2 linked regions of the Callithrix jacchus genome follow. The protein of the gene in region 1 interacts with the protein of each later gene in a biochemical or structural test. Links are inferred from orthologs where the notes say so. Each region holds a gene or a part of one and is shown on either strand. Other genes may lie near its edges. The genes, in order: LMNA and EMD.

Evidence for each region.
Region 2: the proteins of LMNA (region 1) and EMD form a complex in vitro, tested with the Homo sapiens proteins (4 studies listed by BioGRID and IntAct, with this or other methods). The link is inferred for Callithrix jacchus from reciprocal best matches to the Homo sapiens genes LMNA and EMD.

Annotation. Positions count from the first base shown.
Region 1 is NC_133519.1:16,528,335-16,532,135, reverse strand, and holds part of LMNA (lamin), read right to left. Parts: coding exon 3,793-3,801; intron 3,583-3,792; coding exon 3,457-3,582; intron 2,908-3,456; coding exon 2,687-2,907; intron 2,595-2,686; coding exon 2,372-2,594; intron 1,926-2,371; coding exon 1,818-1,925; intron 1,727-1,817; coding exon 1,607-1,726; intron 1,182-1,606; coding exon 1,092-1,181; intron 355-1,091; coding exon 85-354; intron 1-84.
Region 2 is NC_133524.1:150,171,649-150,176,031, reverse strand, and holds EMD (emerin), read right to left. Parts: upstream 2,939-4,383; 5' UTR 2,806-2,938; coding exon 2,724-2,805; intron 2,600-2,723; coding exon 2,492-2,599; intron 2,344-2,491; coding exon 2,266-2,343; intron 2,053-2,265; coding exon 1,919-2,052; intron 1,484-1,918; coding exon 1,437-1,483; intron 1,356-1,436; coding exon 1,028-1,355; 3' UTR 621-1,027; downstream 1-620. UniProt on the Homo sapiens protein: Stabilizes and promotes the formation of a nuclear actin cortical network. Stimulates actin polymerization in vitro by binding and stabilizing the pointed end of growing filaments. Inhibits beta-catenin activity by preventing its accumulation in the nucleus.

The sequences.
Region 1 (3,801 bases):
CCCCCCTGCGAGGCCGCCTCATCCTACCCCTCGATGACCAGGGACCCACCTGCAGGGCTTGGAGACAAAGCAGAGACAACTCACCTGGGTTCGGGGTCTGGAGTTGCCCAGGAGGTAGGAGCGGGTGACCAGGTTGTCCCCGAAGCTGCCACCCCCACTGCCCCCCACACTGCGGTAGCTGCGAGTGACCGTGACACTGGAGGCAGAAGAGCCAGAGGAGATGGATCCGCCCACCTGGGCTCCTGAGCTGCCAGCAGATGCCTTGTCGGCAGGCTGCCCGCAGGTCCCGCACAGCACGGTGCGCGAGCGCAGGTTGTACTCAGCGGGGTCCCCCGAGCTGCTGCAGTGGGAGCCCTGGGGAGGGAGACAAGGCTCAGGCGGGACGGCGAGTCTGGGACTGACCACTCAGGCCCAACACCCAGGCTCTGGGCTCTTGCAGGCTCCAGCCACCAGGCAGGAAGGTGGGGTTCTGTGCCCAAGGAGCCAGTGGGTAACAGGGGTTTGGGAGGCCAGGGGCTGGGAGGAGGGGAAGGAAGATGAGAAATAGGAGAAGGCTCAGCAAGACTTGGGGACAGAGAACCAGAGCGGTGACTCTGACTCTGCTCCAGCTACTCTGAGCTTAAGAGGGAAAGAAGAGGGAAAGGGAGCATGCTTATAGGGCAGGAGGCACGCACTATTCATTGGAGTGGGGGCAGGAATGAGAGAACATTCTCACAGGAAGAATGAGGGAAAAGAGAGGATATGCATGCAACAGGAGTGGGGGAGAGAGGCAGGGCGGGCATGCCCCACGTCTGTCCTCCTGTCCCCTTCCCAGGAGACAAATCCAGACCCTTGTCCATTGCTCCCACCGGAATATTCCATGGCATCAGAAAGTTCCCACTCCCTTCCTTACCAGAGTAGGGCACCCAGACACCTGGGTTCCCTGTTCAAGGTATAGGGAGGAGAGAGAAGAAAGGCCAGGCCAGCGAGTGAAGTTCCAAAACATTCTTTAATGAAAAGATTTTTGGCACGGAAGGCTGGGGAGAGGCTGCCCCCAGGCCTGGCTGGGTGGTACCAGTACAGGCTCAGCCTCAGCGGCGGCTGCCACTCACGTGGTGGTGATGGAGCAGGTCATCTCCATCCTCATCCTCATCGTCCTCAACCACAGTCACTGAACGCACCAGCTTGCGCATGGCCACCTCCTGGCGGGGACACAGGACCAGGCCCAAGGGTCAGGGCCAGGGAAGGGGTGTGCAGCATGTCTACCCCAGTGACCACCTGCAGCTTTCCTTGTGGCCTGCCCTTTGTCCAGCCTGCTGCTTACTCTGCCCTCTGCGATGACGGAGCTAAGGAACTCATTTCTACCCCAGAGGGACACTGTCAAGTTCTCCGAGTAGGAGTATGATTCTGCCTTTAGCAATCCTCACTCACTGTCTGACTTCCACCCCGCGTGCTGTTGGGGAAGCATCTTTTGGTTTGCCTACTGGCTGGGAACATCTGGGGCCTGCACCAGAGAGCCCTAGAAAGGGGCCCTGAATTGGTAAACTTGGGTTGGGGGCAGCTGGCTCCGATGTTGGCCACTAGGGGGAGCCTCGTCTAGGAAGCAGCCCGGCCCCGGCATACGTACTTCCCCAGTGGAGTTGATGAGAGCCGTGCGCAGGCTGTTCCCGCAGCCCCAGGTGTTCTGTGCCTTCCACACCAGGTCAGTAGGGGGGCTATGGGTGGCCCCAGCACCTGCAGCCCAGATCTGGAGAGGAGGGATTAGAAAAGGACACTTACTCTAGCGCTCCCATTGCCACCCAAGGCCTCCCCAGAGTCCCAAGCACCCTGCCACTCACCGTCACCACCTGCCCAGCCTTCAGGGTGAACTTTGGTGGGAAGCGGTAAGTCAGCAAGGGATCATCTCCATTCTGGCGCTTGATCTGCCAGTTGCCCATGGACTGGTCCTGCCAGGAAGATAGGGAAGAGGAAGGTGGGGGAGGCTCACCCAGGCTCCTGGCTGTATCTTGGCTTTCTTCCATCTACACCCACCCCTGTCCCTGCCCTTCCGCCTGGGGATAATAGCCATGATCTGTGGACACATATGCAGCGCCAGGCACACGGATACCTTATCTGTCATCTTCCTGACAACTCAAAGACTTAGGGATCATTATTGATCCCATTTTACTGATGAGGAAACTGACACTCTGAAAGGTTAAAGAACCTGTTGAAGATCTCACAGCCAAGGAGTCCAGGAGCAAGGCCTGGAACTAGAGTGTGGAGGAGATATACAGGCTCACTCTGGTCCACCCTCTGAGGGGTGGGATGACCCTCTCTCCGCATGTCATCCCTCTGTCTTGCCACTCTCTCACTGATGCAGTTGTACCCCCTGAGACCCTGACCAGGAGCCTACCTCATTGGACTTGTTGCGCAGCCGGACAAACTTGCCGTCCTCGTCCACCTCCTCCACGGCCACGCGCCCACTAGTGCGTGCGTGCTGCGAGAAGCTGCTGCGGCTCTCGGTGGACTCCAATTTGCGCTTTTTGGTGACGCTGCCTGAACCCTGTGTCTGGGACGAGTGGGAGGAAGCACGGCCGCGGCTGCGCTGCGAGGTGGGGCTGGGGGACAGGCGTAGCCTGGGGAGAGGGAGGCCAAGTGGGGGTCTAGTCAGGGCCAGTGGCTGGCCAGAGGCCACTGCCACCACCTCCCCGATGCCTCCCCAACTCACCTCTCCTCCTCACCCTCCAGGAGCTTGCGGTAGGCATGGATCTCCATGTCCAGAGCCAGCTTGATGTCCAGCAGCTCCTGGTATTCATCCAGCTGCTGCTGCATCCTTGCCCGCATCTCAGCCATCTCCCGCTCCTTCTCTGCCAGCAGCCGCCGGCTGGTGTCCCGCTCACGGGCCAGCGAGTCCTCTAGGTCTCGAAGCTTCGCCTCCTTGGCTGCCAGCTGGGAAGGAGGGGATTGGGGGGGTTGGTGAGCTCCCAAGGGCCCCAAGTATGGAGGAGGAGGGACATGGCCACCTTCTCCAGGATCTGCAATCAGAGGCTTCCCCAGAGCCCATCACAAGCTCTAATCATAGTCTTGGCTGGCAACTGGGAAGTCCTTCCCCTTGTCCCCTTGTCTAACTGAAATCTCTCACTCTGAGGCTAGACCCTTTTTCTCCCATCACAGATGGCACAGCCAGCTAGAATCATACTGATGCTTTTAACACCTCACATTGCAGAGTCTTATGGCAACTCTGAGTCAGGGAGATTAAGAACAGCTTCCATTTCCGAGTGGGAAAATCGAAGCCTTGAGAAGTGAAGGCAAGGTAAGAGTGCAGAAGCAGCACACAGGCCGCCTGATGCCGCATCTTGCGACCCTTCTCTGTGGTCCTGGGGACATGTTTGTCCCTGTCCTCCTCAGGAACACCCCCCACAACCCGGCCCTGAGCTTCCAGCCTGCATCCTGCCCAGACTCCAGGCCCCTGGAGGGAGGGGTGAGGTGGGGTATCACCTGCTTCTGGAGCTGGCTGAGCTGGGCAGACAGGCTGTCGATGCGGATGCGTGACTGCTGCAGCTCCTCGTGGGCGGCCCCCACCAGATTGCTGTTCCTCTCAGCAGACTGCCGGGCATTGTCCAGCTGGAGGGAAGGACACAAGGGTAGGACGGTGATGACCAGGAGGGTGGAGGGATAGGCCTGAGCTGGGCATCACTGCCACAGCCTTGGGTCCTGGGCCGCCCTGAGCTCCCTGCCACCATCTGCCTGATCTCCCCGGCGGAACAGCCCAGCGTGGGCAAGGGTAGGCTGCTGCGGGCAGAGGCAGTGAGGGAACCAGGGGAGAGCAAGCACCTTGGCGGA
Region 2 (4,383 bases), on another chromosome or scaffold:
TAACTTCATATATGTGTGTGTGTGTGTATATGTGTGTGTGTATATATATATATATATATATATATAGTTACATATATGTGTGTATATATATATATATATATAAAGTTATACATATATAAAAACTTCAAAGATGAAATACATACCCAGGGCAGAAAATCTGGGAGTTAAGTGAGAATATAGGCAGGTGAATTCTACCACCCAGGGATGATGCGGCCTTTGGAGCTTTTCTCCCATGGTAAACAAGCAGCAGTTCCAGGAGCCAAGGATGATCTGCCAATGAGACGCCTCATCTTCTTTCTGTCCCCATGCCTTTGGACAATCGGGTGGACTTCAGCTTTTTCCAGTTAAAACACCCGCAGACTGCTGGTGGCGTGCATGCAGCTTTGCCTGAATTTCCAAGTGGGTTCTCTGTATATACCTTGTTGTACCACAATTATATGTATAAGCAGTTACACGTGCTTTGGGGAATGAGTCAGGGAATAAAACTCCCAAACAAAACACAAACATTTCTGGGTAGCAATTGATTCCTATCCCCAGACCAAAGCCAAAATGCAGACCCAGCAAGGCCAGATGCCCTTGCCATGGGAACCCAACCCTCTCCTCCAGGAAGAGTCAACACATTAAAAATAAATGGGGTTTTTATTGTGTGTCCACGAAAACAAAGTCATGGTGGCCTTTGGTTAATCCCCTCAAGATGACAACTAAAAGGAGGCATGCATGACAACAACAATAACCATGTTCTCTGATGGAGCGAGGCCTTGCCCTCCTGGACCCTAAGGGTTACAGGCAAGCAGGGCCAGGAGGCTAGAGAGGAAAGCACACCCAGGTCCCCCAGATCATGGAGGGCTTGAGTCTGCTGCCTCCCTGGTGGGACAAGGCAGGGGAGCAAGCACTACTCTGGGCTGGGCCAGCGCCCCCCAAGCGAGAACACACACAAAAGCCCCCACCCCCACCCCCACCCCCACCCTCACTGCTAAGGCCATCAGCCAGGACTTCCCCAGAAGAGCTGGCTCTGAAGCCCAGACCCTCAGGGCTCCCTCCAGAAGGGGTTGCCTTCCTCCGCCTGCATGAAGTAGTAAACAAAGAAGAGGAAGATCGCAAAGACCAGGAAAAGCAGCAGCTGGCCCCAGAGCGGGACCTGGCGATCATGGCCAAGCCCAGCCCCAGGAGCATGCTTTTCTGGCCGGATGGCTCGGCGGGTAAGCCATGAAGGGGAAGATGAAGATGAGGACACAGAAGAGGTGGAGGAGGAGGTAGGATAATAGGATAGGCCCAGGGAGCTCCTGGAGGCTGAAACAGGGCGGTAGTGCGCGATGCTCTGGTAGGCACTGTCCCGGCCGTACATGGGACGTTCCCTGAGGCAAAAGAGGGGAGCAGGTGGGCCAGGAGCCTGGGTGCAGAACCAGTCCCTGTTCCTGGGCCTGCCCTCTACGTACCTATCCTTGCACTCCTCTTCAGAAGACAAAAGATTGTCATCACGCACCTGCAGAAGAGAGTCAGGGTGAGTGGACCGACTGGCAGGGCCACCATGGCCCTGCCACATCCCTCAGTCCAAACTTCCCCAGCTGGTGCCCTCTGACCTTTGGTTAGAGGCCAGGGACCCACACCCTCCCGAATGGCTCTTGGTGTTCAGTCTTTTGTTTGTGGGGTCTTGTCACTTGTGCTCATGCCCTGCTATTCCCTTTTGCCCCCAGGAGTCTCAGGAAAAGCTTGAGCCTAGATTGCAGACCAGGGTGCTCTAGTCACAGTTCTGATGGCTCCCCAAAGTAGGGACCTGGCCAAACAGGCGTCTGCTGAGCCAGTCTCCCCAGAAGCACAGAAGCCACCATTTGTATCCAGTGGCCCCCTGGATTTATCCAAACACAGCCGCCATCCCCTAGATTGTACTCAAGTACAGGGCACCTGCCAGCCAGCTCACCTGGTGGTGGAAAGTGTCAGCATCTGGGAGTGAAGTCGCAGACTGGCGGAAGCCCCTGGACTGGCCCGCAGAGTCGGGCTCCCCATAAGTCCTGGTAGTTAAGTAGCTCTCTTCATAGTAGTCGTCATTGTAGCCTTGGGAAGGGGGGCAGCGGTAGCAGAGGGGGCATCGGTGTGCCCCACCTGGCCTGCTGGCCCTAATCTGAATCTCTTTCGGGACCTGTGACAGTTTCTCCCTCCTAAGGCTGCTGGAGTGGTTGGGGCTGAGGTCTCAGGTCCTCCCTGTGAGCGGGGTCCCTGACGCAGTCAGGTGAACGTGCCAGCGTGCCCACCCCACCCCTGCCTTACCCTTGCTCTGGTAGAGTAAGGCGTCCTCTTTCTTGGGAAGATCATACATATCTGAATCCACTGACGGCGAATTCAAGTCTGGATTGAAGGGAGGCGACAGAACTGTTTGCCCCCCAGGCTTCCCTCCCCTCTCCCCGGTGCCGCTCTCGACCGGCGCCCCTGCCACACCCTCGCGACCCCGATCTCCCCGCATCCCAGGCCCGGTCCCCACAAGCGAGGCTCTCACCAGAGAAGCGATAGGAGAAGGAGGCGGCGGACGAGCTGGGGGGCGAGAGCCGCCGCCTCTGGGTCTCGTACTCGAAGATCTTCTTCTCGTAAAGCTTACGAGTAGACCCTGGCCGGACACGAGGCGGTCAGGGCCACAAGCCGGGGAAGGCGCGCGGGTAGGGTGGCGGGGAGGGCGCGGGGCAGAGCGCGGGGAGGGGGCCCGGGGGCAGGTCCTGCCCGCCGCCGCGTACCGACAACTGGCCCGTGAGGTATGTTGTACTGGCGCAGCACGGCGGCCAGCTCGGTATCCGAAAGACCCGCGTAGTCGTCCATGGCGGGTGCGGGCGCGGGCGGAAGCCGGGCCCCTGCCAAAACCCGCCGAGCAGCGGCTGCCGAGGATCACGGCGGGGGCGGCACGAGCGCCTCGGGAGCGATCGCGCTCGCGTCACAGCCAAATCACTGTCTCGTCACGGCCTCGGGCTCCGCAGGCTGCGCGCGCTGTGCGGGGAGGGGCTTAACGGCGGGAGCAGCAGGCGCAGAACGGCCGGGCCTTGGGAGCTGGGAGGCTGGGGCAGTGAGTCCAAACGTCATAAACGCACGGATTGGCTAGCGGCGGACGGGGCGGGGCCCGCGCCGAGAGTCAGGACAGTGGGAATCAGTCTCGCGGTGGGAGTGGGCGGGGCCGCAAGCCCAACGTCACAAACACACGGATTGGCTAGCGATGGAGGGGGCGGGGCCCGCGCGGGAGCGGAGCAGAAGGTGTCGCGGTGGGAGCGAGCGGGGTCGCGAGTCCGTACGTCACTAACGCCCGGAGCTGTTGGGGGTGGGGCCCGCACGGGAGTCTGGGCGGTGCGGCTGGGAGCCTAGACGTCACCTTGAGGCGTGCGTGAGCCAGTCGGTAGAGAGGGGCGGGGCCTGTGTGTCTAACACCCGGCATCTGCCGGCCGGGAAGTGAGAGCGGCCTAAGTGGGCGCTAGCGGTGGCTCTGGTCCCTAAGTCACTTGGGCTCCCCACCGTCCCAGCACATCCCTTCTCTACGCCCTGGTCCCCTTTCCCGTGGCCCCAGGGCGTAGGATTCCCCGGCCGCATCCGGGTCGGCCGCCCCAGCAGCGGCGGGAAGGGTCTGAACCCTAAGGGAGCGCCGGCCCCGGGCTAGGCACTACTGAGGGAGCTTTGTGTGCGCATCACCTGGGAAGCGGCTGTGGGGCAAGGCCCGCGCCTACGCGGTCCTCGCAGACCCCCTGCCACGGGCCCACCTTCCCAGTCTGCAGGGCTGTCGCCCGTGCACATATGCTCGCTGCTTCCCACCGCCTCCCTCCTTCCTTTTCTCCTACCTCGCTCCACCCGGGAGGAAATGGGGCACTGGGCCAGGAGGCCGCCGGCACTCCAGGAGCAAGCAGCCTTCGAAGGGGCCCGGGCAAGCCAGCGAGCACGCCAGTGAGCGCGGACAGAGGGCGCTGTGCGATGTGTGCAGAGATGACGTGTGTCCAGCCTAACGCTTCATGTCGTTCATTCACCCGGGGCACTGGCGGGAGCTGAAGTGGGGCTTCCTCTTCTGTCGGAATGGCCCCTGAGCCCAGCATAGCCCGGCAGGGGGCAGACGTGGGTGTCGAGCTATGGAAGGGCTGCCAAGGCCTGCTCAGGAGCCTGGACTGTGGCTAGGATTCCCAGGACCTTGATCAGATAAGGGCTGCCCTACGGAGAATGGAGAAGAGGTGATATTCTTTTTTTTTTTTTTTTTTTTTTTTTTTGAGAGAGTCTCGCTCTGTCACCCAAGCTGGAGTGCAGAGCCGCAATCTTGAGTCTCTGTAGCCTCCACCTCCCAGGTTCAAGTGATTCTCCTGTCTCAGCCTCCCTAGTAGCTGGGAGTACAATCACATGCCACCACACCTGGCTACTTTTTGTACTTTT